7 linked regions of the Oryctolagus cuniculus genome follow. The protein of the gene in region 2 purifies or fractionates together with the protein of the main gene of each other region. This does not show direct contact. Links are inferred from orthologs where the notes say so. Each region holds a gene or a part of one and is shown on either strand. Other genes may lie near its edges. The genes, in order: NIPSNAP2, PRKCZ, LLGL2, C1QBP, CSNK2B, PARD6G and LLGL1.

Region 1 (3,803 bases), on a different chromosome or scaffold from region 2:
CACATACCTGCTTGTCAGCTCCAAAGCACAACTGACTTTTATAATAAGAATTGTTATTAAATAGGATTATATAACTGGTGACTTTATGTTTACCTACAACGTCCAGTCCAAACAATAAAATTTGTACTATAAAAAAATAGTCTAGGAACAAAAACTGATGACAGGAATCATTTAATTCTGCACTAACATCTAGTGTTATCTTTAGTGTGAATCAGCAAAAATTTTTTCAAAATCATTACCTGATTTTCTCTGAGCTTATTCATGACCTCTGTGAGTGCTGGGTAGCCTCCTTCATACCTCCAGAGGTGGACTGAAATGCATTTTAAAAGACAGTGGACATTTAGAGTTTCATGATATCCTTATCTTGAAAATACCCAAGAAATATCCAATATTAATAAAGTACTAAACTGTGATACACCATGTGTTGGCTGGTAAGCTACACCACAAAGATTCAGTAATAGACCCAAACATTAAAAACAACAGAAGAATAGTTTTTGCAATGTATTATTGAAGAAACTACTTTAACCATAAAATGAGACCGAGACTCAGAACGCTTGGATTACAAAAAACAGGCACCGAATTAGAAAACGACTTAAGTGGTTATATTGGGCTTAAGGAAGAAGTGTTCATTCCAAAGACTTGTGCTTCCTACCAGCTTGATCCTGCTCGCCATACCACGTGTTCCAAGTCCCCACCAAAGTGCAAGGGTAATGTTTATCTTCATGAATCTTTGGCAATACCTCTTGACTTAAAGAGAAGGAAAAGCAGCATTAGTCAAACAACGCACACCATTTTACCAAGTGGACAACAGTTAAGTCAGTAACAGGATCGAAGGCTACATACCCTCTTCCTGGCAACGGACCTCATGGCATACTCATGATAAGATGACATGTGGAATTAACTTATAGCTGAATTCTGCTGCACTCCAGCAACCCACTCAACTGTCTGATACCCCAACTATCTACAAGAGTTGTAAGCAATCCACGCATACTGACAAAAATGCCAAAGAAGAGCCAATGGTCCCAAGATTCTAGGAGCAACAGGTCTACTATTTGCCATCTCAGGGGAAAACAAAACAAAACAAAACAAAGCTTCTGAGGAATGTGATGTTTATAAAAGCTAAGTTCTGCTGGTTCCAAAGACAGGAAGAATGAAAGACATGAGAATACTAGAAAAGAGCGTGGAGGAATGAAGAAAGGGAAGAAAGGAATGTTCAAGACAGAGGCAGACGACACAGGTGGCGCCAGCAGGCAAAGGTGACAGGAAGAGAGGACAATCTGGCCTTAGGGAGGAGGAAGACAGGGCTAGAACACAACACAGAAGCAACCCCAATCTCCAACAGTCCCGAAGGCACCAACGTGGCAGAAGAATCAGAATTAAAGATACAACGCAAAGCCGAAGTTAGGGTCTATTCACCTCAACCAGCTGAGGGGATCCGAGTGTCACAGTCACACTGCACGCGGCGGCCAAGCCATCACCTCTGAGTGCGTGGAGCAGTGGCACGGCAGTGCACTAAATTAACAGTGTCTCAGAGCAGAGCTTCATTCCACGGACCCTTCCTATCAGAGACTGCAATGTACCGGGGAAGGCAAAGCCAAGAGGCATCACTGTTCTACTCCAAGAGAAAAGCTAAAGCCTACACAATCTTGAATAGAAACATTATGTGAAGAAAATCCAATACAGATTCAACAGTGGATGCCAAAGGATATCACGGCTCAGACATGGAACTTGCTCAAATCACCTGCCGATGTGGCGTGATACTAAATTAGTGACTACCACCACACCTGGGGCATCAGGACCAGGTGTGTATGGACAGTTAGCAGAGAAAAACTCCAAACAGCATGTCTAACTGAAAAACCATATGTATTTATGATCCAGTACGAGGACCATACCATGTGTATTTTTTGAAGATTGGCATTTATTTTTTAAGATGATCTGATCTTCAGAAATCAGGGGTAGGGAAAGATGAATGATGATTGGGAAACTGAAATGGGTTTCTTTTTTTGGCATGTGACATGTGCAGGAAGAAAACCACCCTGAACTGGAGCCAACGCAGAGGAAGGAAGTTGGTACAGATGACCCAGGTGGGGTCCAGAAAGGGGCTGGGGGCTTGGGTTCTCCACCAAGTCAAAGTCATATATGGGTCTGTAGCCAATCCTCTTTGCTGGGGGCCCCAAACCTGCTCTTGGAAGCCCTTGCCTTACCTGAACGGAGGTTGTAAGGTAGGCAGTACTTGTACCCAGAACTGGATGGGTTGGGCAGAATCTCATTATTGGGGCCCCTAAAAACCAGGCAGGAGTTAAGTCTTTATGTTCAGGAAACAGGGAGCTGCTGAAAGTTTCGGAGAAAAAGAAAAAAAAAGAAAAAAAACATGATGAGGGAGAAAACAGAACTCAGCAGATCAATCTGACAAACTTTTGGGTAATGGACTGCGGGGTGGGGTGGAGACACAGCTACAGTCTTGAGCCCAGAGAGGCAGTCAGAAAGGAGATGACTCAGGAATGGGGCTCAACAGCTTGGAGACGGAGACGGAGGAGGAAATGAGCAAAGAGAACCACAACACACGTCAAATGAAGGACGCACAGCCCTCAGTGACCAACTCATCACAAAGAACTAAGGAAAGGGTGCAGTAAAACATGGTGAGCGCACAGACAGCAAAGTCGGGAGGGCAAGGTGATTCTACACGTCCAGTCTGAAGTGAGAGCAAGACATCCAAATATAAATATGAACAGACAGCCAGAAATCTGAGACAGGAGATGCAGTGATAAAAACAGGACAGGAAAAACAATCGAGGGGAACATCAGCACAGAGAAACTTTTTCATTCTATGAGCGGGTAGCGGGTATTTAGAAACAAGCATCTACTTTGTTGCAGGGCATTCTGTAAATAAAGAGAAATGTGCTGACAAGGGCAAGAAATTCTATGCTAATGTTACATTTCACAGAACACTTCCACAAACAAAACAATAGAATGACAAAAGCTTTTTCTCTTGAGAATTACACTGACTCTGGAGACAAAATCATCTGCTTTCTCATTATATTTGCTCACAAGTGTTCATTAAAATACCACCTCTGCTAATTAACTCAATTCTCCCTCTAGTCTTAAAGTTTACCAATTCTTTTTGAAGGGGGTACAGCTCTCATATCATAGGACCGTCAGCCAAAGGGACTTAGATGCTATTGAGGGAAGAATTGGGAAGAAGTGGAAGCTGTGCTCAACCACAGCCAGGACTCTCACGCGGCAGTCTTACCCGGGAGGAAAACTGGAAACGATGGTGATCACCAAGACATGAGTTCAATTCCTAACACTCAAAGCTGCCCAGAGATTGATTTAAGCACAGGCAGGCAGGAGAGTCTGCAGGAAGGGACTCAAGCACTGGATGAGCAATGACCTTGCCAGGTTCCTCCCAGCCTTATGAGCCTGGTAACACCCTGAAGATTGACAGACAATGTGAGGATTTAGCTGTGTGCGTGCTTAAAGCCGCCATGCCGCTGGCAACCCCACACAGAGCCATGACTGACGAACCTCTGAACACTCGGCTTTAATGACAGGCATGAAAGAAAATCTCTCTCTCTACGACCAAGTACTAGCTGAACTAACCAATATTAAGTGTACTTTTTCCCCCAAGTACAAGATAGTCTGGTATACGTACCAAATTTTGTTGTACGCATCTAGGCATTCTGGTTTAACGTTGTGAACTGAAACAGAAGAAAATCCCATGACAAACTTATGAACAAAGCAGGGGAAAAAGTCCCCCGTAAAGACAGCTAATTTATCACTCACACTGTAACTTGTATAGACTGC
Region 2 (3,803 bases):
GAGGGGGTCTGGGGCTCCCTGGGTCACGCCCCATGGAGGGGGTCTGGGGCTCCCTGGGTCACCCCCCACGGAGGGGGTCTGGGGCTCCCTGGGTCACCCCCCACGGAGGGGGTCTGGGGCTCCCTGGGTCACCCCCCATTGAGGGGGTCTGGGGCTCCCTGGGTCACCCCCCACGGAGAGGGCCTGGGGCACCCTGGGTCACCCCCCACGGAGGGGGCCTGGGGCTCCCTGGGTCACCCCCCATTGAGGGGGCCTGGGGCACCCTGGGTCACCCCCCACGGAGGGGGCCTGGGGCTCCCTGGGTCACCCCCCATTGAGGGGGCCTGGGGCACCCTGGGTCACCCCCCACGGAGGGGGCCTGGGGCTCCCTGGGTCACCCCCCACGGAGGGGGTCTGGGGCTCCCTGGGTCACCCCCCACGGAGGGGGTCTGGGGCTCCCTGGGTCACCCCCCACGGAGGGGGCCTGGGGCTCCCTGGGTCACCCCCCATTGAGGGGGTCTGGGGCACCCTGGGTCACCCCCCACGGAGGGGGCCTGGGGCTCCCTGGGTCACCCCCCACGGAGAGGGCCTGGGGCACCCTGGGTCACCCCCCACGGAGGGGGCCTGGCGCTCCCTGGGTCACCCCCCACGGAGGGGGTCTGGGGCTCCCTGCGTCACCCCCCACGGAGGGGGCCTGGCACTCCCTGGGTCACCCCCCACGGAGAGGGCCTGGGGCACCCTGGGTCACCCCCCACGGAGGGGGCCTGGCGCTCCCTGGGTCACCCCCCACGGAGGGGGTCTGGGGCTCCCTGCGTCACCCCCCACGGAGGGGGCCTGGCGCTCCCTGGGTCACCCCACTGAGGGGGTCTGGGGCACCCTGGGTCACCCCCCACGGAGGGAGCCTGGCGCTCCCTGGGTCACCTCCTCCACCTGAGGGGCCTGGGGCTCCCTGGGTCACCCCCCACGGAGGGGGCCTGGGGCTCCCTGGGTCACCCCCCACGGAGGGGGCCTGGCGCTCCCTGGGTCACCCCCCATTGAGGGGGTCTGGGGCTCCCTGGGTCACCCCACTGAGGGGCGGAAGCCGTCGGAGAGACGAGGCTCAGGGACGGGGACCCGGGGACCTGCTGTGCCCCGCCGCTGGGATCGGCCCGGGGAAAGCCCAGTCCCATCTCGGAGCCCAGGACCCCAGGCCTCTGGGTGACCAGGACCCCAGGCCACCTCTGCGTGGCCCCTCCCCGCGCGCAGCCCCCGCCCTGTGTGACCCGGGTGGGGCCGGCAGGGGCTCCCTGGGGGCGCGGAGCACACAGGCTTGGGGGGCCGGCGGGCCAGGGCTCCCTCGCCCTCGCTGGGGGTGCGCGCACCGCACTTCCTCCCTGGCCGGCTGCCTCCCACGCGGGCGCTGCGGCCACGCGGGCACCCGCGCCCGCTCCGCGCCCTCCAGGGAGCATCAGGCTGAGGAAGCTGCTTTAGAGAGACGCCATCACCCGCGACTTCGGACCCTGCCGAGCGCGCAGCCGGCGACTCGACCCCAAGCGGTAACAGACTGCGACCGCCACCGCCACCGCCACCGCGGTTCGCGCACACCTCAGGCCCACCCGAGACGCGCGCCCACCTCACGCGCAGCCGCCACGAGACCAGCACATGCGCGTCACGCGCGCGGCCGCCATGGGAATAGCGCATGCGCAGTGTGTGCGTCGTCCATGGGAGCAGCGCATGCGCGGTATGTGTGCGTCCTCAGACTAGCGCACGCGTGGGATGTGGGCGTCCTCAGTGAGACTAGCGCGCGCGTGGGATGTGGGTGTCGTCCGTGGGAGTGGCGCATGCGCGGTCCGTGTGCGTCGTCCATGGGGGCAACGCATGCGCGGTCCGTGTGTGTCGGCCATGGGGGCGGCGCATGCACGGTCCGGCGCCCACCTCGTCGTCGTGGACCAGCTCCTTCTTCACGACCTTCATGGCGTAGACCTGGCCGTTCTTCTTGAGCCGCACCAAGAGGACCTTGGCGTAGCTGCCGCGCCCGATGACCCTGATGAGGTCGAAGTCCTGCAGCCCGAGCCCCTGAGAGATCTTGATGCCGTCCACGCCGTCGATCACGGGCTTGAGGTCCTGGGGGGGGGGGGGCGCGTCAGGGCGGGGCCGCGGACGGGGCCCTCTGGGGCGACCTCGTGGAGGTCCCGCCCACCTCGGCACTCACCTCGGCGTCCTCCTGGCCGCTGTCCTGCTTCCGGGTGGAGATGAAAGCGACTGAGGGAGAGCAGAGCCGCCTCAGGCGGGGGCACCTCCCGGGCCGCAGACCCCGCCACGGCGCGCGCCTGCGCCGTGCTCGGCCCTCCGAGCGCCCGTGCCCTTTGTCCGGCCCACCCGCGGCCCTCCGGGCCAGACCCCGCCCAGCGCTGCGGCTCACGCCGGGCCCAGCCCACACGGGGGCCGTCCGCGCGGCTCCGAATGCGTCCCAACTAGACGAAGCCGCTTCCACGCCGGGAAAGAAAAGCTCACTCAGGCTGCCCCGCCGTGTGCAGGCCCGCAGGGCTCCCTGGGGACAGGGCTCCGCGCAGCGCCCAGCTGAGGGCGCGCTGCTGGCTGCTGTCCAGAACCCCTGGAGCCGGCACTCGGTGCACAGCCCCCACCCCGGCACCACGGCGATGTCCCCGCCCACCCCGGCACCCATGGCGATGTCCCCGCCCACCCCGCACCTCCTGGAGCTGTCCCCGCCCACCCCGGCACCCATGGTGATGTTCCCGCCCACCCCGCACCTCCTGGAGCTGTCCCCGCCCACCCCGCACCCACCCCGGCACCATGGAGCTGTCCCCGCCCACCCCGGCACCCATGGCGATGTCCCGCCCACCCCGCACCCCATGGAGCTGTCCCCGCCCACCCCGCACCTCATGGCGATGTCCCCGCCCACCCCGCACCTCCTGGAGCTGTCCCCGCCCACCCCGGCACCCATGGTGATGTCCCCGCCCACCCCGCACCCATGGCGATGTCCCCACCCACCCTGCACCCCATGGAGCTGTCCCCGCCCACCCCGCACCTCATGGCGATGTCCCTGCCCAAGGCCCTCATGTGCCCGTGGCACGCTGTCGGCTGAGTGGGTCAGGGAGGCTGGCAGGGCCCAGGGTGAGGGGCTGCGCTCTGCCCAGCAGGGAGAGGGCGGCACCTACTTCCGTCAGTCTCCTGGGAAGGAAGGTCCGCGTCGTCGCTCTTGTCGGCTACTGGAGGCTCTTGCGAAGGCATGACAGAATCCTGCCCGGGAGACCACAGGGCAGGGTCACCACGCGGCTCTGCAACGCTCCTGTGACCTCTGACCCCACCACGCGCCCCTGCACACTCCTGACCCCGTGACCCCACCACACGGCTCTGCACACTCCTGACCCCATGACCCCACCACACGGCTCTGCACACTCCTGACCCCGTGACCTCACCACACGGCTCTGCTCACTCCTGACCCCGTGACCCCACCACGTGCCCCTGCACACTCCCGACCCCGTGACCCCACCACACGGCTCTGCACACTCCCCACCCCGTGACCCCACCACGCACCCCTGCACACTCCTGACCCCGTGACCCCACCACACGGCTCTGCTCACTCCTGACCCCGTGACCCCACCACACGGCTCTGCACACTCCCCACCCCGTGACCCCACCACGCACCCCTGCACACTCCTGACCCCGTGACCCCACCACACGGCTCTGCACACTCCCCACCCCGTGACCCCACCACACGGCTCTGCACACTCCCCACCCCGTGACCTCACCACACGCCCCTGCACACTCCTGACCCCGTGACCCCACCACACGGCTCTGCACACTCCCCACCCCGCTCTGCA
Region 3 (3,803 bases), on a different chromosome or scaffold from region 2:
AAGCGTTCCCCCCAAACCACCTCTTCTGGGAGCGGGGGACAGGAGGCCCCTCACCTGGCCAGGCAGGAAGTGGATCTGCATCACAGCATTGTTCTCCCGGTGCAGCCCCATGAACTCCACCCCTGGGGCGCCGTAGCTGGCAGAAGGCTCAGGAAAAGCTCTGAAGGCTGGACCCCCGCCCCGATCTGCCCCGTGCAAGGGCCCCTCGCAAGGAGCACAGACACCCTGGCACAGCAGGACCACGTCCAGGGCCTGGGGTGAGGAGAGAGAGCAGTGGCCTGAGCAGGGGCAGTTTTCTCAGGTAAAGCTCTGGGCGGCTGCTGTGGCAGGAGAGGGATACCCACATCCCTGTTGGAGCGCCCGGGGCAAGTCCTGGCTGCTCCACTCCTGATCCAGCTTCCTACTGATGCACCCTGGGACGCAGCGGTGACGGCTCGTGGACTTGGTTCCCACCCACGTGGAAGACTCACACGGAGTTCCTGCCTCCTGGCTGGGTCCTGGCCCAGCCCTGGCTGGCTGAGGGCATCTGGGGAGTGAACCAGCAGATGGTGGATCTCTTTCTTCTGTCACTCTTTCAAATAAACTTGTATCTTTATTTGAAAGTCAGAAGGAGGGAGGGAGGGAGAGGTTGGTTGATCCTCCACCTGCTGGTTCACACCCCAAATGGCTGCAATGTCCAGGTCTACGTCAGGAGCTTCCTCCGGGCTCCCAGCAGTGGCAGGGCCCAGACACTCGGGCCGTCTTCTGCTGCATTTCCAAGGCCATCAGCAGGGAGCGGGACTGGAAGTGGAGCAGCCGGGACTTGAACCGGTGCCCACATAGCACACCGCTGTTGCAGGTAGTGGCTTTCCCTGCCACGCCACAACACTGTCCCCCTGCCCTCCTATTTTTTTAAAGGAAGGCGAGGCCCAGTCTTGGCCACTGGCTGCCACACCTGTTTCCCCAAACTGATCGACCATCCATTGCTTGGTGGCACCCCTGTGTCCACCCCCAACAGTCTTTGCCTACGAGTCGTGGCACCAGGCACTGGTAGCCAGGATCCGGCCGAGTCCCGGCAATGATTAACCAGCCAGGGGAGGGCTGAGCTGGCAGCAGGAGGATCTGGGCCCCTGCTCCGCTGTGTACACAGCAGGCCAGCAGCCCCGCCCCCCAAGCTGCAGCAGGGTAACAGGAAGGAGTTGGGGCTCCGCTGCAGGAAGTGCCAGCCGCCAGCCGAGCTATCCAAGGGGCTCTGCTCCCCTAGGCCCCGCCCCTGGCAGTGCAGGTCAGACGGCAGAGGAGGCACTCAGATTTGTGGTCCAGCCCAGAGCGGCTGGAGAAGCTCACAGCAATCCTCTCTGGAACTTGGGGGCTCGCCGTGGAACCACCTGGAGCCCCAAGCCAGCCCAGAACAAGGCCGATTCTGGATAAAAGATGACCCAATAGGACACCAGCCTCAGGCTCGGGTGGGGGGGCTGGGTGGGGACTGTGCCCTCCAGCAGGGGTCTCCACCCTCTGGTGTGTGCCTGTGGGGGGGGGGCTAGAACCTGGAGGCGAAGCTGCCTTCCCAGTGCTGCCCTCACCCGAGGCCACCCTGTCTCTGCTCGTGGACGGAACCGCGGGACGGGCCACAGAAATGGGAAGTCCTCTAACTTGCCTCTCTGAGGGGGAGTGGAACTGGGGGAGGCAGACCCCTTTGGTGTCTCCCAGCCATCGCCTTGTTGGGCAGAGTTCAGGAAAACTCTCCAGGCCCCTCCTCCCTGAGACCCTCGGCTCAGCCCTGTAGGGCAGAAGGAGGGAGGGGCTGGGCCTCTCTCCTTGGGGCTCACGGCTCCTGCACAGTTGAGACTGATTTTTGAAACTTCCAGCGATGGGTGAGGGAGGGAAGCTACAAGGAGGGGGGACAGCTTCTTGGCCCTGAGCGGACGCAGGAGACAAAAGAAACCGTGCCTCGGGTTCAAACCTCCCCCTCCTCCCCAGAGGGACAGGCCAGCAGCTGGCCAGCTCATACCCACCCCGTCGGCCTCCAAGGAAGTCACTTCCAAAGGCGGGAATCAGACAAAGTTGTGCCCTTTTCCCAACAGCCCACGGGCAAGAGGGAAGGGACCGCCTCCCCTGAACCTCACCCACCGCAGGGGCCCTCGCAAGGATACAGCTTGATGGCTCCGGAGCGCGTGCCGATGGCCAGGAGGCGCAGGGAGGGGCTGTAGCCGAGGGCGCTGGGCTGGTGCGGGAAGCCATGTTCCACCGTCTGCAAGGCAAACAGCGTCCCTGGGTCCCCTCTGCCCACAGCAGCTGGGACCGGAGGAGCCCAGAACCACCCCAGCCAGAGCACTTCAGTCCCCCTAGTTTCCCAGACACCTGATGTTGGAGCTGAACGCAGACCCACACGGCCCCTGCCCCAGTTTGTTTCCACCTTGTCCTTGGCAGTCTGACAGCCCAGGGGCCTTCTCTCTTGACACCACGCTGGCCATCTCACACTCACACTCTCCAGAAACTGAGCTGGAGCCTGCATCAGCACCCTGGGGACCCCAGCCAGCCCTCCTGCAGTAGTCGGGGGCCTTGTGGGGGTGTGGAGTGGGGAAGTGTGTGTGGGGCCAGCACAGCAGAGACCCCGAGCCCTCGGGAAAGCCGCCTGGTTACACGGTGGGCTTGGGCCTGCAGGGTCCTGGGCTGCGGGTCCTCCAGCCCTGTATCTCCTGTCGCCACCAGGACCCCCAGGCAACTCCCAGGGAGGAGTTTCCGGAGCGCTGTTGCAGATGAACGCTTCTGTCGGTTTCCTACTACGGAAGTACACGCTAGGCCCAGACTACGCGAGAGAGCTTAAGTCAGCCGGTCCCTCACAACCACAAGCAGCGCTTGCTAACGGCTCCGAGGACACCCTCTGGGCCTGGGAACACCCGTGAGTGTGCGTCACACGTGGGAACAGACGTGCCCGGGATCCCGCCGTGCAGACACGTGTGCGAGGTCCCGCACACCGAAGGCCTGGTAGCCCGCGCTTCCACTTCAGTCGGCCAGGCCGTGCAAAGCTCTCACCGGCCTTGGAAGAGCCGCAGTCTCCCCAGGCCGTGGTTTCCAACGCGCCCCGTTCCCAGGCCCTGCGACTGCCGACCGCATGCAGGAGCACGTGGGCTCTTGCTGTTGCTGCCTGAGACGATGACCCAGTGACATCTGCAGCACAGATGGAGGTGGGCAAACCAGGACGCGTGGGTCCTGCTCCTCCTCCCCCTGTCCCGGGGGTCCCGACCCGCACAGCTGAGCGTGCCAGCCAGCTGCATGAAGGACCGTTTTCTTTCGTTTGCTTTTTCTTTTTCTTTTTTTGACAGGCAGAGTTAGACAGTAAGAGAGAGACAGCGAGAAAGGTCTTCCTTCTGTTGGTTCACCCCCAAAATGGCTGCTACAGCCGGCGCACCACGCTGATCCAAAGCCAGGAGCCAGGTGCTTCTCCTGGTCTCCCATGGGGTGCAGGGCCCAAGCACTTGGGCCATCCTCCACTGCCCTCCCGGGCCACAGCAGAGAGCTGGCCTGGAAGAGGGGCAACCGGGACAGAACCAGCACCCCAACCGGGGCTAGAACTCGGGGTGCTGGCGCCACAGGCGGAGGATTAGCCTGGTGAGCCACTTTTTCAACCACAGAGACCCTGCCCTGCAGGAAAAGTGCAACAATGAGGCAGCCGAGGCCGCCTGGCCTCAGAACGCAGACCCAGGTCCTGGGTCAGCTAGTACGCCAGCTTAGCAAACCCAGTGCCTGCCTGCCTTACCGCCAGGCCGGGGGTTGGTGGGAGGAGGCCCACGCTAGGGTCAGGCCGGGGAGGGGCAGGGTGA
Region 4 (4,358 bases), on a different chromosome or scaffold from region 2:
GCACCCATGTGGGAGACGCAGAAGCTCCTGACTCCTGGTTTTGGATTGGCACAGCTCTGGTCGTTGTGGCCAACTGGGGAGTGACTGCGTAACTCTTTCAAATAAATAAATAAATCTTTAAAAAAATAGTTCACTTGGTGTAGTCAAACAATAACTAAAAAAAGTGTATGTCAATACCAATAACATAGGGAAAGGAAAAAAACACCCAAGGATGGGAGAAAACACTTGCACACCCTGTGTCTGATAAGGGGAACTGCACCCAGAATATCTAAAGCCCACCTTTAAGGCAATAACCTGGTAACCTGGATTCAGCTCCCAGCTCCAGCGTAGCCTATACCTGGACATTTCAATATTTAGGGAGTGAAGTAGCACATGGGAGCTATCTGTCTTTCAAAACGACAGTAAAGGCCGGCGCTGTGGCTCAATAGGCTAATCCTCTGCATTGCGGCGCCTGGCACACCGGGTTCTAGTCCCGGTCGGGGCGCCAGATTCTGTCCCAGTTGCCCTTCTTCCAGGCCAGCTCTCTGCTGTGGCCCGGGAAGGCAGTGAAGGATGGCCCAAGTGCTTGGGCCCTGCACCCCATGGGAGACCAGGAGAAGCACCTGGCTCCTGCCTTCGGACTGGCGCAGCGCCGGCCGTAGCAGCCATTTGGGGGGTGAACCAACGGAAGGAAAACCTTTCTCTCTGTCTCTGTCTATAACTATCTGTCAGATAAATAAAATTAAAAAAATAAATAAATAAAAAACCAGAATCACAAAGTAAATAGAACCCTGTCAAATGCCTGCCAACAAATGAATGGATAACTGACAGAACAAGGACATGAGCCTCAGGCATTGTGGCTCTTTGCCTGAGGGACCCTTTACCTTCCTTCAAGAGACCAGCTCAGTCCTACGCCCTGTACTGTTGCCCACCCTACCCTCTGCATTCTGCATTCCATAGAAAAGCTAGCTCAGCTCCACTGCACCTCATGGCCCTTATCAGGCCTATGCTATTTAAATCCAGCCCGTAAATAAATTCCTGCTCTCTCGGCCACGTGTTCTGTCTGTGCGCATGCCAGTGGTTGGCCATCTTTGCAAATTCACTTGTCTTTTTTTTTTTCCTTTATGATTTATTTATTGTATTTGAAAGACAGAGTTAGAAAGAGATCTTCCATCTGCTGGTTCACTCCCCAAATGGCTACAATGGCCAGATGGAAACCAGGAACTTCTTCCAGGCCTCCCATGTGGGTGCAGGGACCCAAGCACTTGAGCCATTTTCCGCTGCTTTCCCAGGAGCAGAAACAGGGCGCTGGGTCAGAAGTGGAGCAGCCAAGACTTGAACCGGCACCCATATGGGATGCAGGCACCGCAGGTGGCAGCTTAGCGTGCTATGCCACAGCGCTGGCTCCCATTTTTCTTCTTAATTGATTTTGGCCGTTGACTTCGTATCTTGTCTCCTCTGGTCTGTCTCCCATTTCCTTACATAAATAAAATCTAGCATATCCACATAATGAAATATTATGTTGTCATTAAAAAAGCTAACTATTGGTACATGCTATTACTAGTATGAATGAACCTCAAAAACAACGGGGGTGCGGGGGTGACAGTGTTGTGGCACAGCTGGCTAAGCTGCTGCCTACAACGCTGGCACCCATAGGCTGCTCTGCTTTGGATCCAGCTCCCTGCTCAGACGCCTCTCTGTAACCTTCTCTCTGTAATTCTCTTACTCTCTGCCTCTCAAATAAATTAATCTTAAAAAAAAAAAAAAAAAAAGCTGGCCCAAGTGTTGGACCCTTGCACCCACGTGGGAGGACATGGAAAAAGTGCCTGCTGCCTGGCTCCTGGCTCCAGCTTGGCCCAGCTCTGGCTGTTGGGGTGGATGGAAGACGTCTCTAACTCTACCTTTCAAGCCAATAAATCAATCTTGGGGGGGGGGGGGGAGGTAGACACAAATGGCCACATATTGCATGACTCCCACTCACACAAAATGTCCCACACAGGCAAATCCAGAGAAGGCAGCTTGGCGGTTTCAAGGGGCCGGAGGGGGAAGAAGGGACAGGGCGGCTGCGGAAGGGTCCCGCTGTGAAGTCACACGGGGTGGCTGACATGTGGCTCCAGCGAGCTTAGGGTCCCGAGCCAGAGGCCGCCCCACGCCGCGCACCCCGGGGCGCGCCGTGCACTTACTTCTCCCCGGCCACTTTGCGCACGAGTTTAGCCTCTGTGCCGTTCACCTCCAGCTCCCAGCCTCCAGACATCTTGGGAAGGGCTTTATGCTTCTGGATTTTCTTCTCCTCCTTAATCTCGTCGGTAAGGAAATCCACAAAGGCTTTATCTCCTGGGGAGGAATCGCGGAGACGTCAAGGAGCGCCAAGCACCCGACAGGGACCCGGGGACCCGGGGACCCGGGGACCGCCGCCCTCTGCCCGGCATCCGCCTCGCCTCCCCAACGCTATCCGGCCTGGAAGCGGGCAGCTGCATCCGCTCGCCCGGAGAAGCCAATTCCGTCACGAGCGCCGCAGCACCCCACCCCCCAAACCGCACCCGGGGCCGGGGGAGCCGGGGAGCGGTGCTGTCAGTCGCCGTCGGGAATCAGGTCCCCCACGCCACGCGCGAGCCCCTCACCCTCCGTGTGCAGCGCGCCGCAGCCGCAGGAGCAGGGCTCGCGAGCCCGCAGGAGGCCGGGCCGCCGCACCGAGCCCGCGCGCACGCTGAGCAGCCCGAACGGCCGGGCGCAAGGCCGGGGCGCGGGCAGCAGCAGCGGCCGGAGCGGCGGGGCCGGGGCCGCGGCGCGGAGGCCGGCGACGGCGGGGCCCAGGGCGCGGGGCACGCAGCGAAGCAGCGGTAGCATCGCGCGGACGGCGTCAGACACGTGCGGCGGCGACGGACGACCCGGGCCAAAGCGCCCAAGTGACCTCCCGCCGCCGGAAGCCCGCCCTCGCCCGGAAGCGTCTCCCGCCGCCGGCGCTCCAAAGACCGAAGGCACCGCGGGCCGGATGGCGCCCTCTGCCGGGGACCGCCGGTGCAGCCTCGAATCCGGATTCCTGGACCGCCCCGGGAGTGTGTTGGGGTCTGGTGCGCAGAGCTTTGTGGTTAATTCTCAGAGCGCGCCAGGCTTGCACACGTCCTCCACACTCGACGGCAGCACACCTCTCGCAGGCCTTCTCTGCTCTCTCGTGTGCATCAAGCCCTGGCTTTGCTCGCTTGCCTGGCTGACTCCCCTCACTGCAGCCAGGTGAGACCCAGAGGCGCGAGGCGCGGTGCCCATGGTTAACCTCTCGTGACTGGCTTCACCTGCTCCCTCCGGCCTTGCATCCAAGTTCTCAGGCAAAGTCATTTTGCCGGGAGCCAGAAGCCATGGCTAACATCTGGTTCTGCACTCGCCAGGGTGTGGAAGGTACCAAGAAAATGTCTCCCTAGCTTTGTGGCAATCGTAAGGCTAATACTTAATATTTTCAAAACAGCTTTCTGTGAATAAGGGCAAGGACACACAAGAAAGAAGGGACATGCATCATGTACAAGACTTGTTCTCAATGGACACTTGCTAGTCAGGTGCGAATGTGAGCATTATATATATACACAGGAGTTGATCTTTTCATAGCTTTATTTAAGACTCAAAATACAACGTACGCCTGAGCCAACCTGATTTTTTCCCTCCCTCGGGATTTCTCTGCAGGTTACAATATTCTTATGAAATACAACATAACATTCTCGCCCACGGGGCCCGTGCTTTCTCTTATGCTAAAGCACTGGTGTCAGAGATGCATGGCCACATCCGTAGTGGACGGAGGATTTAGGTATCACAGTGCAATTTCCCTCCCCGAGCAAAACCTTGTCCTCATCTGGCATCTCCTTCCCAGTCAGCAGGTTTGCAGCATGAAAGCTTTTTATCAAGGACAGGGATTGGGGTCCTCGCCCTTGTAAGGAAAGGTGCCCTACCCCACGTTTCACCCTCTGTGATGATGTAAGCAGGACAGCCGCCTGAGCCACGCCCCACGCCGCCTGCTTGAGGACACTGTTTGCACACAGCCGCTCAGAGGAGGTGGGAAAGGGTAGCTCGGGGCTATGGTGCAGTGTCACTGTGAAAGCGCTAAGTTTAAGGTGTAGCATCCCCTGCAGCTCGACAGACAGGTCTTATTTCTGTGTTAGTGACGTGGAGCTAGGGTGGGCTTTCCAACCTGGATTCATCCCTGAGCAGCTATGATAAAAAAATAACTTCCTTAAAAGCCCAATAGAAAACTAAATACTATATTAAAAACTACCTCAGTGTTACAGGGGTAAACATATTTCTGTACTGAAACATGAAAGCTACTTAGAAGCTGTTTGCATCCTCTGCCCCCCGGAGAAGAACATGAGTCTCTGGAAACTTCTCGGGTGCTTAAG
Region 5 (4,232 bases), on a different chromosome or scaffold from region 2:
CACCTCAGAAGGCCCGAGCTCAGGGTAAAACGTGGGGCTCTCCTGTGCAAGGCCGTGCCCGACTTGATAAGAACTAGGAGGGTTGGCCAGGGCTCACTGAGGGTCCCCGAGGGCAACGTCTGCGACCCGACTCGCCTCGCTTCTTCCCCCGCCCCCTCTTGGCCCCTCAGTCCAGTGAGCATACGACTCTATTTCCCAGGCTCCTGGCCCCGAACGCCTTACTTGGCTTCCGCTTCCGGTGGCGCCTCGCTGTGCCCCGCCCCCGAGCCGCGTCCTCGGGGGCCTCGCGACACGAGGGTCGTGAGTGAGCTGTCCTGGGATTCGTAGTTCGCTTTTCCCTCGCTTCGCCGGTCTCTCGCCCTAGCGGACTCCATCTCCCAGCGTCCACCGCGGCTCTCGCCCCTCGGCGCTTGCGCGTTGCCCTCTTCCCCACCCTCCCCGATTTCCACTCCCCCCACCCGACTTCGCCTGCCGCGGTCGGGTCCGCGGCCTTCGCTGTAGCGGTCGCCGTCGTTCTTTGGAAGCAGCTGTTCCCCTCCCCCACCCCGGTCCCGCTCCCCGTCCAGCTGGTGAGTGTGAAGTGGTTGCCCCGCGGAGTTCCCGGTCCCTAGGAGCGGCACATGGGGTCTCCCCGCCTTGAGGTGGGGGCGAGGAAGGAAGTGACCCGGTCCGTAACCGTGGGAGGGAAGGGTGGCCGGAGAGCGGGAGGCAGGCTGTGGGGACTCCGTGAAAGAGTACCTGGCGGTGCCCGCCCCTCGCCCCGGGTCGTGAGAAAAGGAGGTGTCGGTCGTTGCTTGGCAAAGATAAACTTCTAATTCTTGGGGAAGGGTGCCGGAGCCCTGCGGTGGTAGGGAGCCCGAGCCGAGGACTCTGCCAGAGTTGACACAGGCGAGAGGGGTCTGGCCATCGGGGGCGCGGGGGATGTAGGTAGGGACTGCTGGGTCGGTACTTGTGGGCTCCTGCCAAGGAATTTCTAAGTTCATTCAGAGAAAAGGGGCCGAGGTGTAAATAACAAGAGCTAGAGAAGCCTGTCCCAAAGGCTGGGATCCTTTAAAAAAAAAAAAAAAAAAAAGGGTGGCCCCAAATTCTTCCATGGCTGAAAGACAGAGTGTGGGAGGAGGGAAGGTGCCAGAGCCGGGGAGGGAGAGCTTGGACTTGACTCCTGTTTCCAGCTGACGTGAAGATGAGCAGCTCGGAGGAAGTGTCCTGGATTTCCTGGTTTTGTGGGCTCCGTGGCAATGAATTCTTCTGTGAAGTGAGTGCTTTTCGTTCTTCCTACTCGCTGGTTCCATGCGTTCAGGTTGGGTATCTTCAGCTTTTGCACACTTTATCCCGTGGAAACTCCTTCCCGTGAAAGAAGGGGTCCCCTCAGTAACCCCCCACTAATCAGCGGCGATGTGGCAAGACTGGGGCCCAAGTCCCATTTCTGTCACACACCCCACCGCACCCCCAGGAGGATAACATTGAACTAGTCAGACCATCTTTTTTTTTTCTTTTTCTTTTTTAATTTTTTTATTGTACTTAAAGTATCTGAAGGTAGAGCAACAGAGAAAGTGAAGGATCTTCTGTCTACTGGTTTATGTCCCAAATTTCTACAACAGCTACTGCTACCAGCCAGGCTGAAGTAAAGATCCCAAAACTTACCTGGGTTTCCCATGTGGGTGGCAGGGACTCAAGTACTTGTGCCATCACCCTGCTACCTTCCAGGGTGTGTGTTAGCAAGAAGCTGGAATTGGAAGTGGAGTTGGGACTTGAACCTGAGCATTCCAGTTTGGGATGTGGGTTATCTCTAACCATGTAGGAACCACCGTGCCAAGTGTCCTTTCTCCTTTGCTTTTTCATTACTAGAATGCTACTGGTAGTGCTTATCTCTGGGGGCTGTTAGGAGAATTGGAATACTGCACCTTAAAATGTTCTGTAACATGCAAAGCTCTGTGTTGACATAAGGAATTCTAACCACCTTCAGAAACCAAGCTGTTCAGCCTCCACCTTCCTCAGAGAGCAGCTGTTCCCTCAGGAGAGGACAGAACTGGTTCCTAGAGATGAGGAACAGGACTAGAGACGCGGGAGTCGAGTGTGTCTCTAAGGAGACTGCTGTGCTTGCTTGTCCTTGGAGGAGAGAAGCTGGAGCTTTCACGGGGGGGAGGGCGTGCGTGTGAACTCGGGACAGCGGCTGAAGTACTGACGCTGAGTTGGAGTAGGAAACAGGCAGACCAGACGCAGCCGTGTGGCCGACAAGGCGTTCGTTAGGTGACCTTGGCCAGCTCAGAAGCTGGGGGTCCCAGTAGGAGTTTTCCTCTTGACCTCCGTGTTCTACCAGGTGGATGAAGACTACATCCAGGACAAATTTAACCTTACCGGCCTCAATGAGCAGGTGCCTCACTATCGACAAGCTCTAGACATGATCTTGGACCTGGAACCTGGTGAGACACCCTCAAGGTTCATGGTGGGGGGGCTGTTTTTCTCTTCAAATTACCTCTTGAATTTACCTCTTGAATTTCTAAACTTCCTTTTGGTTCTCTGACACCCTTAACCTCAAAGTCCCAGCAGCATTTTTGCCCCCCTCCTTGAATTCTTGCCTAGTTTTGTGACTGATAGCACTTGCTGCCATACTTTCTGAATTTGTAGCTCAGCGCTCCTCCTTATGCGAGTTTCCTCGCGGGTCTTGTTTACTGCCTCTTTGCCTGCCTTGCACCCTCCAGTCTAGAGTTCCACCTTCTGTGTTGACATCTTTGTATTTACGTACTAAGGAAGGAGTTGGGAGGGAGAGAAGAGAGCAGAGGCTGAAGAGGTGTGGAGAGAAGGCTGGGCTTCCTTGGGTTGGTGGAAGGGGCAGAGACCCAGGTTAAATGCCCACGTGAGGACTGGGTGAAGCTCAAGGATGGGTGCTGGGCAAACTGGGCAGCCAACAGCCCTGGGGGTGGGCGGGGCACCTGGGAAAGCTGGAACGCCAGTGGTTGCATGTGGCTGGCCCATATTTCAGACGAAGAGCTGGAAGACAACCCCAACCAGAGCGACCTGATTGAGCAGGCGGCCGAGATGCTTTACGGATTGATCCATGCCCGCTACATCCTCACCAACCGAGGCATCGCCCAGATGGTGAGGCCTCTCTGCGCCTGCGTGACTCCTTGTGAGGCAGTAAGGGAAACAGGTTCCTACAGTGAGCAGTAATCTGGCAGCCCTGTCAAGGAGTCGAGCTGAGATGAGAAAAACCCAGAGTTTGGGCCGGGAAACTGAGTCCTCCCTGGACGTCCTGCTGAGGGGGTGTCTTCAGGGAGGGCGATGTGAGCTTGGTCAGAGTTGTGGACTGCTTCTTCCTCAGAGAACAGACGGCAAATGGCCCTGGATGTCATTAGCCTCCCTAACTGGGGGGAAAGTTGGTGGGCCCCTTTGATCTGCACAAGGACCTCCAAGAAGAGGGAGGAAATGTGGAGGACAGAGTTATGTGGGGGTCGCTGCTTATCCTCATACCCACCCACCAATCCCTTCCATTTTTTTCCCTTCAGTTGGAAAAGTACCAGCAGGGAGACTTTGGCTACTGTCCCCGTGTATACTGTGAGAACCAGCCAATGCTTCCTATCGGTGAGTATTGAAGAAGGGAGAGGGGGCACCATCTGGCAGTCCTCTGGGAAGGAGTTGGGCTCAGCAAGGCGGGAGCTGAGTTCTGGGGCAGGGGACTCGGCAGTGTCGCGGGTGCCTGGCCTGCTGAGTCTGGCTGTCTCCCAGGCCTGTCGGACATCCCAGGTGAGGCCATGGTGAAGCTCTACTGCCCCAAGTGCATGGACGTGTACACACCCAAGTCATCGAGGCACCATCACACGGATGGTGCCTACTTCGGCACTGGTTTCCCTCACATGCTCTTCATGGTGCATCCCGAGTACCGGCCCAAGCGACCCGCCAACCAGTTTGTGCCCAGGTGGGGAGCAGACAGAGTCACCATGTGTCAAAGGAAAGACTCAGAATCCCCCAGAGAGAAGGGTGGGCGGGGCCTGGCCCTGTCCTGTGGCCAGCTGCTCCAGAGCCAGGGCTTCTTCCTGCTGAGGGACTGTGGGAAAGTTAGTTGACAGCCTGTGTCTTAGCTTCCTTGTTCTTAGAGCAGGGATGATAGCAGCACCTGCCTGATAGTGTTTTTAGATATAGGAGTTGTTTAGAATGGTGCGTGGCACTCGAAGCACCATTTTAAACAGTAGCTGTTACTGTCCCCATGTCAGGTGCTTGACCTTTTGTTAGGT
Region 6 (4,543 bases), on a different chromosome or scaffold from region 2:
ACAGACGGAGCCTGGCCCGGCAGGAGTGGGACAGCTTTGCATAGGACGCAGCAGCCCAGAGTAGAGTCTCAGCATTTGCAGATCGGGACACCAAGGCCCAGAAGGTGTGGACTGAGACCCCATGCAGTGGGTCATCAACACCTAAGCCAGGAGAAGGCTGAGACCGGGGTCATCCGCAGCCGCGAGGGGCTCTGGGCTGGGCTCCTCTGTTGCTGGAGACTGTGTGTGGATGATGGTGGGGCTGGAAACAGCAGGGAGTCCGGGACACTGCTGAGTTCATAAGGTCCTGCGTAGTTTCCAGTCTTCTCAAGGGAAAATTCCTCTCTGGTTAGTCTGCACGGAGACCGGCCTCCCTGTCACCCTCAGAAGGGGCCGCGGCCTGTCCCCCTCCCCTGCACATCGAGTACTCCCTCCCTGCAGGCCTCGTGTGAGGAGACCACAGCATGAGCACAAGTGCACACTGCCGGCTTGGACAGGAACCCGAGTGGCTGGAGTAAGGTGTGGCCGTTTGGGGACTGGGACGGGGTTGGGGAGACACACACACACACCCTACGCATTCCTACGTTGTGGGCGCCCGGTCACTGTCACCACTGCCTCCTTTTATTTTGGGAGGAGAGCAGAACAGAAACCACGCCCATCCCAGGCGGAACAGCTAGGCCTTGGAGAAGTCAAACACCTTGCAGAAGCCTGCACGGGTGGCAGTGGCAGAACACGCAGGCCATTTCCCCACAAGCAGCGCCTGTGGAGGTGGGCTACACGGCAATGAGCAGTAACCACGGAGGGGCGAGCGGAAGGAAGAGCCCAGGGACGCGCGGAAAGAGCTCGGGCAGCCCCAAGCCCTGCCAAGGCCAGTAGTTCTGCCTCTCACTTCCAGGACAGCACCTGCAGCGTCTGAGCTAGACCCAAGCCCAGTTCGCAGAGCCAGCCTGGAGGAGGCGGGCAGGTCACACTTGAGAGACCTCAAAGGCAGGCTGCTGCCCTCCCCACCCTGAGGCAAGGGACAAGGCCTGGGGGAGGAGCACTGGGTTATCAGTTCACACTTGAGGCAAGAGAGCCGTGGGAGCAGGCAGCAGGAGGGGTCCTGGGGCCCTCCCCGGCCTCGCAGGTGGCCAGCATCTCAGATCTGCAGGCACCAAATGAGCACAGATGGTGCTCGGCCTGGCACGGCCCTGCGCAGGTCCTAGCTGTCCTCAGCATCCGGGAGAGGGGGACGGGGCTCTAGTCTACAACCACCTCGGGGTCAGCGACGGCCCTGCGCAGGTCCTAGCTGTCCTCAGCATCCGGGAGAGGGGGACGGGGCTCTAGTCTACAACCACCTCGGGGTCAGCGACGGCCCTGCGCAGGTCCTAGCTGTCCTCAGCATCCGGGAGAGGGGGACGGGGCTCTAGTCTACAACCACCTCGGGGTCAGCGACGGCCCTGCGCAGGTCCTAGCTGTCCTCAGCATCCGGGAGAGGGGGACCGGGCTCTAGTCTACAACCACCTCGGGGTCAGCGAAGGTCTGGGAACAGAAAGCTTTGTGAAACCAGACACGGCCCGTCCCTGGTAACCCTACCGTAGGTGCAGCTCCAGAGCGGGCGGCCCCGACACGCGGCCCTGGCCCTGGCGGGTGCCAGGGACGGTGTGCACTCAGGGCCACGGAACCAGAACCCGGGTGAGGGGCAGTTTCAGAAGACGACGGTGCGTCCCAGGAGGGGCAGGAAACCCCAAGGCTCCCTGCGGCCCGCGTCCCATCCTCTGCCGACGCCCGGAAACCTACACCAACCCCTTCGGAACGCCGCCCTGAGCCCCCGGACGGCTGTGCCAAGAGCTCTACCCAGGCCGGGGCAGGGGAATGCAAGGGCGCGAAGATGCGGCCCCCGCGCCGCGTTCAGCAGAGGCTGCAGGGGTCGCCCACAGGCGCTAAGGGGCCGCCCGCGCAGAGGCAGCAGCGCCAGCTCCCCGGCCAATTACCCAGGCTCGCGCGGCGCAAGTTTGGACACGCTCGGGGCGCGCAGGCGGGAGGCGGCGGGCGCGCCGGGAGCACTGGGTCGGGGGCGCGCCCGGTACTCGGGGTCTTCGGGGTGTGTGTCGGGAGCGCGCCCGGTGGGGGCAGGGCCTACGTGGGAGGTTCGCCTGCGGGTTGGGGTTTCTGGGCCGAGGGCGCGCCTGAGGCTTGGGTGGCTGCGCCAGGGGCGCGCCTGGTGGTTGGGGGAGAGCCTGAGTCGGGGGCGCGGTCAGGGGGTCTGGGTGTGGGCCGGGGAGGCGTCCGGAGCTTGGGGGCCTGGCACGGAGCGCTGGGCGGGGGGCGAGGGTCGGGGCCGGGCGCCCAGGAGAGAGCCGGCGGCAGATCTCTCCCCCGCGGGGACTAAGGCTTCTTGGAGCTAAGCAGGCGGCATGGCCAAGGCCCTCCTCCGGCCCGGCCCCCAGAGGCCCCGGCCCAGCCCCCAGAGGCCCCCGCACGGCCCCGAGACCGAGCAGCCGGCGGCCCCCAGCTCGCCCCGGAAACACCGCCCCCAAACGTGCGCCGCGCCCGGGTCGCCTTTCCTCGCCGAACAAAGAGCGGCTACCGGGAGTGGGTTCCGAGCGCCTAGACCCAGGCGGCCTCGGCCCCCGACCGCCGCAGCCCGCAGACCGTCCCGGGCTGGCTTTGTCCGCGCTTGGGCGGGAAGGACAGCGGCCCCCGGCGCCCGGCTGCGGGCTCAGACGCCGCTTGGGCGCTCGCGGGGGGCGCGCGGGGCTTACCTTGCTCTTGACTTCGACCGCGCCGCAGTCGGGGAAGCGCAGGGTCTGGGACCGGTGGAAACTCCGGTTCATGGTTTCGGCCCCGCTCCGCCTCACCTTCGCCCTCGCCCCTCAGGGGCCGCAGGAGGATGCCTGGGGAGCAGCCGGCCCGCGCTGCCTCGGCCACCCGGCTGCTCAGCGTGCAGCGGCCCGGAGCTGCGCTGGCCGCGCGCCTCGGGGACTCCAGGGCCGCGCGCGAGGGGACGCCGGCGCGCGCCGCCCGCCTCCCCGCGCCGAGCCGCCCGGGCCCCGCCCCGCGCCCAGGACTCCCCGCCCACAGGGCCACCGCCCCGCCCCGCGGCCTGGAGACCCGCCCACTGGGCCTCCGCCCCGCCCCCCACCTCCCGGGCCCTGCCCCGCGCCCGGGACGCCCCGCCCACAGGGCCGCGTCCACCACGCCCCGCCCACCCGCCCCGCTCCCGGGACGCCCCGCCCCGCCCCGCTCCCGGGAGACCCCGCCCACCGGGCCACTGGCGGGCGGCCGGCTTGCTCCCCACGCTCGCGCACCCGAGAGGAGAGGGACCCCACGGAGTTGGCAGCGGGCGGCCTGGGACGAGGCTGACTGGGGCCGTGTCCCACGCGGTCCGGGAGGGAGACCCTGGAGGGGCGTCCACGGCGGGGCTGTGCCCGAGAGCACGGACCGCGACGTCCGCAGGGAACGGAGCGGGGTTAGAACCGCGGCGCGTGCGAGCTTCCACTCGGGTACCGTGGGCGACGGCGACTTGGCTGCAGCGCGGGGAGGCGGCGGGCGACGTCAGAATCACCCGCATTGTCCGCGACGCTGCCAGACTGACTGTGCTCCTATCCGGCTTGCCGCGCGCTTGTAGGCTGAGCATTGGCGCTAAACACAAGTTGCTAAGGCTGCGTGGGGCCGGCGCTGTGCTGTAGCGGGTAAAGCTGCCGCCTGCGGCGCCGGCATCCCATATGGGCGCCGGTTCGAGTCCCGCCTGCTCCTTTTCCCATCCAGCTTTCTGCTGTGGCCTGGGAAAGCAGTGGAGGATGGCCCAAGTCCTTGGGTCCCTGCACCCGCGTGGAGACCTGGAAGAAGCTCCTGGCTCCTGGCTTCTGATCGGCGCAGCTCCTGCCGTTGCAACCAGATGGGGAGTGAACCAGAAAGCCTCACTCTCGCTCTTGCTCTCTCTGCCTCTCTGTGTAACTGACTTCCAAATAAATACATACATCTTAAAAAAAAAACTTGAATTATATTTCTAAAATCTTTAATACAGAACACCAAATTGTACTCCAAGTTTAATTTTCATTTAATTTTGGGACATTTTTAGCCTGCTCCATGCCAGGGTGTAGTCCAGAATGAGTCACCGCGCTCAGAGGAACACCAGGCGGGAGAGGGCAGCAGGTGCACGGGTTTCCAAACAAGCAGGGCTGCCCAGAGGTGCACCGCGGACTTCTTTCCACCTTCATCCCCGAGGGAAACCACAGGCTGTCCAGTTGCAGCAGGGAGCACGCTCCAGTTCAGGACTACCCTGAGGAAACACGCCAACCCAGACACCTTCAGAAATGCAGGGATGAGGGGGGTGGGCAGGCAGCAGGGCAGCAGTGGGTGGAGACTTACCACGGGAGGGCTGCGGACCCTGAATTTGGCCTCTGGAGCAGCTTGATGCGGTGAGATCATGTATTTAATGTGTATGGCTCAGAGTGCGGTCCAAGGCCAACACCTGCTCCACCTGGTGCTTGCTAGCGATGCCGCACCCCAGACCCGCTGCATCTGCACTTGAACGGGGTCCCAGGTAATGGTGTCACAGAGAAGGCCGACAAGGGCTGCT
Region 7 (2,523 bases), on a different chromosome or scaffold from region 2:
AGGGAGAAGCGTTCAAACTCGGACGGGGAGATCAGGTAGAAGCCTGGGCGGGCGGGAGAGCAGAAGCAAGGGGGTGTCAGGAGACAGGCGGCGGCCGCAGCCCTGGGCCAGCCCCCGGCCCCGTTCCCGCAGGCCTCACTCACCCTGGCCGTGCCGAGTGAACACACAGGAGGCGATACCGCTGATGTCCTCTTTGCGGATGCACGCGTAGTGCACCTGGGGCCGCAGGCCGGGCACCGAGAACACGTGCACGTCCCCCAGGTTGGTGAGGCAGGCCAGGCACGTCTCGGCATAGTCCTCGCAGGCCACGCTCGCAAACGTGGCCAGGGCCACCTTGCGCACGCGGCAGCCCTCGTGGGCTGTCAGCTTGAACTTGGTCTTGGCACTCACTTTGGGCAGCGTGAACACCTGGCAGCGGGCAGGCAGCCCGTGAGCACGGAGCTGGCCGGGCCCAGGCCCTCACCCTGCCGCCTGTATGCCCGGGACACACGGACACACGTTCCTCCCCCAGTGCAGGGCATCCCAGACGCTGGCCAGCCTCCCCCATCTGGGGTCACCCCGGCCTCGCGGTGTGGGTCTCAAGGTGGTGTCTGCCGGCTGGTGGCATTCCCATGGGCCTGGGGAACGTGGGCAGGGCCCCGAGGACCCGCTCACCTTGAACTGTTCCTCGGAGGCGATGAGCACGGCGTGGCCCCCCTGCATGTCGGGCGCCTGCGCCAGGTCCCGAGAGGCCTCGTAGGGCTCGGGCAGCGGGCGGCCGCGCCCGTCCAGCACGGCGATGGCCACCACGGGCGCCCGGTGCATCAGCTGCACCTCCTTGCCCAGCACGGCTTCCACCGCCCGCTCGGGCCGCTTCTCGCCGCCCGCCGAGGCTGCCGGCACCTCCAGTGCGTAGGCAAACACGGAGCCCGAGTTGGTGCCCGCCCACATGGTGGGCCCATGGTGGGCCGCTGCGGAGACGGGGGTGCCGTGAGAGGGCGCGCCACTTCCGGCACCCGGGCGCAGCTGCCATCTGCGAACCCCACACAGCACCCTGCCCCCTCCAGCCCCATCCCACAGCACCCTCAGCCCCCGCCCTCCATCCTCATTTTGCAGGCCACCCCAGCCCCTGCCGCACCCCCACCCACAGTGGGGAGACAGAGCCTCTTGACCACAGAAAACCCCAGGCCACCCATCAGCCCTGCTCTGGCTGTGGCAGCCGAGCACCACACACTCCTTGGAGACGCGGAGCAGGATGGAGGGGCCAAGGAAGGTGTGGCACCCACCACACAGCACCCTGACCCACTGCCGGACCTAAGCCAGCCCTGAGGTGCCAGCTGCCAGCCTCGGCCACCATGAACGGGAGTCAAAACCCCATGCCTGGGGCCGGCGCTGTGGCGTAGTGGGTAATGCTGCTGCCTGCAGTGCCGGCATCCCATGTGGGCGCCGGTTTGAGTCCCAGCTGCTTCACTTCTGATCCAGCCCATTGCTAGTGCGCCTGGGAAGGCAGCAAAAGATGGCCAAGTGCTTGGGCCCCTGCACCCACGTGGGGGACCTGGAAGAAGCTCCTGGCTCCTGGCTTCAGCCTGGCCCAGCCCTGTCATGGCCACCTGGGAAGTGAACCAGTAGATGGACAATCCCTTTGTCTATCTCTCCCTTTAAAAAAAATTAATTATAAAAAAACTGTGACCTGCTTCGGGCACATTTAGGGGGTAGGAAAATCGGACAAAGGCCTGTGACAAATACCTGACACCAGACAGCAGCCCCTGGACAGAGCCTGTGCTGAGACGTGGGCGAGGCAGGCAGTGTGGGCGTTGGGACGCGTGTCAGACTCCTGCCCGGGCTCTCACCTCAAGCACCGCAGCGAAGCCAAACGGCTCAGTGCGGGGTGCAACAGGCTCACCAGCGGCATGGGGCCATCAGTCAGGAGCACAGGGCAGCCATGTGCCTTCTCCGTTTTAAAATCCTCCACAGTATGAGTTAAAAGCCAATCAAGGAATCGGGCCTCCCTGGGCCCTCAGCCATCCTGCCCTCCGCCTCCCTCGCTCCGTCCAGCTGTGGGCGGGGCAGTCCCCCACGCGGCCGACCACAGGGCCTTGGCACTGGCCGCTGCCTCTCACCGTTGTTCCCCAGAACTCGTTGAGGCCTGCCCAGCTCCAGCTGCCCCCACAGAGGGACCGTGCAGGTGGCCACCAGGGCACCCTGGCACACAACATTCTGGAACCCTGGAGGCACAGTCCCCGCGCCCCCCGGCCCCCACTCCCACCCCAGCCTCACCATCTCGCAGGAACGTGTCGGCGAAGTAGAGGCAGCGCACCACGCCCGAGAGGGAGTCGTCGGCAGAGCGGGGCTCGATGCGGCGCTGCACGGGCGTCATCTCCACGTCGTGGGGGCAGGCCTGCTCCGCCAGCTGTGCGTTGGCCTCCTGCAGCTACAGGCGGAGCGGCCCTGAGGCTCAGCCCTGCGCCCCGGGGTGCCCGCCCGCCACCCTCCAGCCCACCCCGTCCACCCCAAGGGCTGAGGGCTGCTGCGAGGGGACGGCGG

The links.
Region 1: the proteins of PRKCZ (region 2) and NIPSNAP2 purify together in Homo sapiens (affinity purification with mass spectrometry; 3 studies listed by BioGRID and IntAct, counting the BioPlex papers as one, with this or other methods). This does not show direct contact. The link is inferred for Oryctolagus cuniculus from reciprocal best matches to the Homo sapiens genes PRKCZ and NIPSNAP2.
Region 3: the proteins of PRKCZ (region 2) and LLGL2 purify together in Homo sapiens (affinity purification with mass spectrometry; 7 studies listed by BioGRID and IntAct, counting the BioPlex papers as one, with this or other methods). This does not show direct contact. The link is inferred for Oryctolagus cuniculus from reciprocal best matches to the Homo sapiens genes PRKCZ and LLGL2.
Region 4: the proteins of PRKCZ (region 2) and C1QBP purify together in Homo sapiens (affinity purification with mass spectrometry; 5 studies listed by BioGRID and IntAct, with this or other methods). This does not show direct contact. The link is inferred for Oryctolagus cuniculus from reciprocal best matches to the Homo sapiens genes PRKCZ and C1QBP.
Region 5: the proteins of PRKCZ (region 2) and CSNK2B purify together in Homo sapiens (affinity purification with western blotting; 3 studies listed by BioGRID and IntAct, with this or other methods). This does not show direct contact. The link is inferred for Oryctolagus cuniculus from reciprocal best matches to the Homo sapiens genes PRKCZ and CSNK2B.
Region 6: the proteins of PRKCZ (region 2) and PARD6G purify together in Homo sapiens (affinity purification with mass spectrometry; 6 studies listed by BioGRID and IntAct, counting the BioPlex papers as one, with this or other methods). This does not show direct contact. The link is inferred for Oryctolagus cuniculus from reciprocal best matches to the Homo sapiens genes PRKCZ and PARD6G.
Region 7: the proteins of PRKCZ (region 2) and LLGL1 purify together in Homo sapiens (affinity purification with mass spectrometry; 6 studies listed by BioGRID and IntAct, counting the BioPlex papers as one, with this or other methods). This does not show direct contact. The link is inferred for Oryctolagus cuniculus from reciprocal best matches to the Homo sapiens genes PRKCZ and LLGL1.

What each region holds. Positions count from the first base shown.
Region 1 is NC_091450.1:65,799,029-65,802,831, reverse strand, and holds part of NIPSNAP2 (protein NipSnap homolog 2), read right to left. Parts: coding exon 3,783-3,803; intron 3,698-3,782; coding exon 3,652-3,697; intron 748-3,651; coding exon 653-747; intron 311-652; coding exon 240-310; intron 1-239. UniProt on the Homo sapiens protein: Protein involved in mitophagy by facilitating recruitment of the autophagy machinery required for clearance of damaged mitochondria.
Region 2 is NC_091438.1:163,707,941-163,711,743, forward strand, and holds part of PRKCZ (protein kinase C zeta type), read right to left. Parts: intron 3,220-3,803; coding exon 3,138-3,219; intron 2,221-3,137; coding exon 2,171-2,220; intron 2,083-2,170; coding exon 1,894-2,082; intron 1-1,893. UniProt on the Homo sapiens protein: Calcium- and diacylglycerol-independent serine/threonine-protein kinase that functions in phosphatidylinositol 3-kinase (PI3K) pathway and mitogen-activated protein (MAP) kinase cascade, and is involved in NF-kappa-B activation, mitogenic signaling, cell proliferation, cell polarity, inflammatory response and maintenance of long-term potentiation (LTP).
Region 3 is NC_091448.1:5,031,474-5,035,276, forward strand, and holds part of LLGL2 (LLGL scribble cell polarity complex component 2), read right to left. Parts: intron 2,231-3,803; coding exon 2,133-2,230; intron 137-2,132; coding exon 55-136; intron 1-54. UniProt on the Homo sapiens protein: Part of a complex with GPSM2/LGN, PRKCI/aPKC and PARD6B/Par-6, which may ensure the correct organization and orientation of bipolar spindles for normal cell division.
Region 4 is NC_091448.1:50,896,016-50,900,373, reverse strand, and holds the start of C1QBP (complement component 1 Q subcomponent-binding protein, mitochondrial), read right to left. Parts: upstream 2,915-4,358; 5' UTR 2,827-2,914; coding exon 2,601-2,826; intron 2,314-2,600; coding exon 2,163-2,313; intron 1-2,162.
Region 5 is NC_091436.1:138,946,825-138,951,056, reverse strand, and holds the start of CSNK2B (casein kinase II subunit beta), read left to right. Parts: upstream 1-1,164; 5' UTR 1,165-1,183; coding exon 1,184-1,255; intron 1,256-2,320; coding exon 2,321-2,423; intron 2,424-2,983; coding exon 2,984-3,099; intron 3,100-3,506; coding exon 3,507-3,582; intron 3,583-3,726; coding exon 3,727-3,916; intron 3,917-4,232. UniProt on the Homo sapiens protein: Regulatory subunit of casein kinase II/CK2.
Region 6 is NC_091441.1:99,573-104,115, reverse strand, and holds the start of PARD6G (partitioning defective 6 homolog gamma), read right to left. Parts: upstream 2,961-4,543; 5' UTR 2,796-2,960; coding exon 2,724-2,795; intron 1-2,723. UniProt on the Homo sapiens protein: Adapter protein involved in asymmetrical cell division and cell polarization processes. May play a role in the formation of epithelial tight junctions. The PARD6-PARD3 complex links GTP-bound Rho small GTPases to atypical protein kinase C proteins.
Region 7 is NC_091448.1:62,280,469-62,282,991, forward strand, and holds part of LLGL1 (lethal(2) giant larvae protein homolog 1), read right to left. Parts: intron 2,411-2,523; coding exon 2,257-2,410; intron 951-2,256; coding exon 655-950; intron 409-654; coding exon 144-408; intron 44-143; coding exon 1-43. UniProt on the Homo sapiens protein: Cortical cytoskeleton protein found in a complex involved in maintaining cell polarity and epithelial integrity. Involved in the regulation of mitotic spindle orientation, proliferation, differentiation and tissue organization of neuroepithelial cells.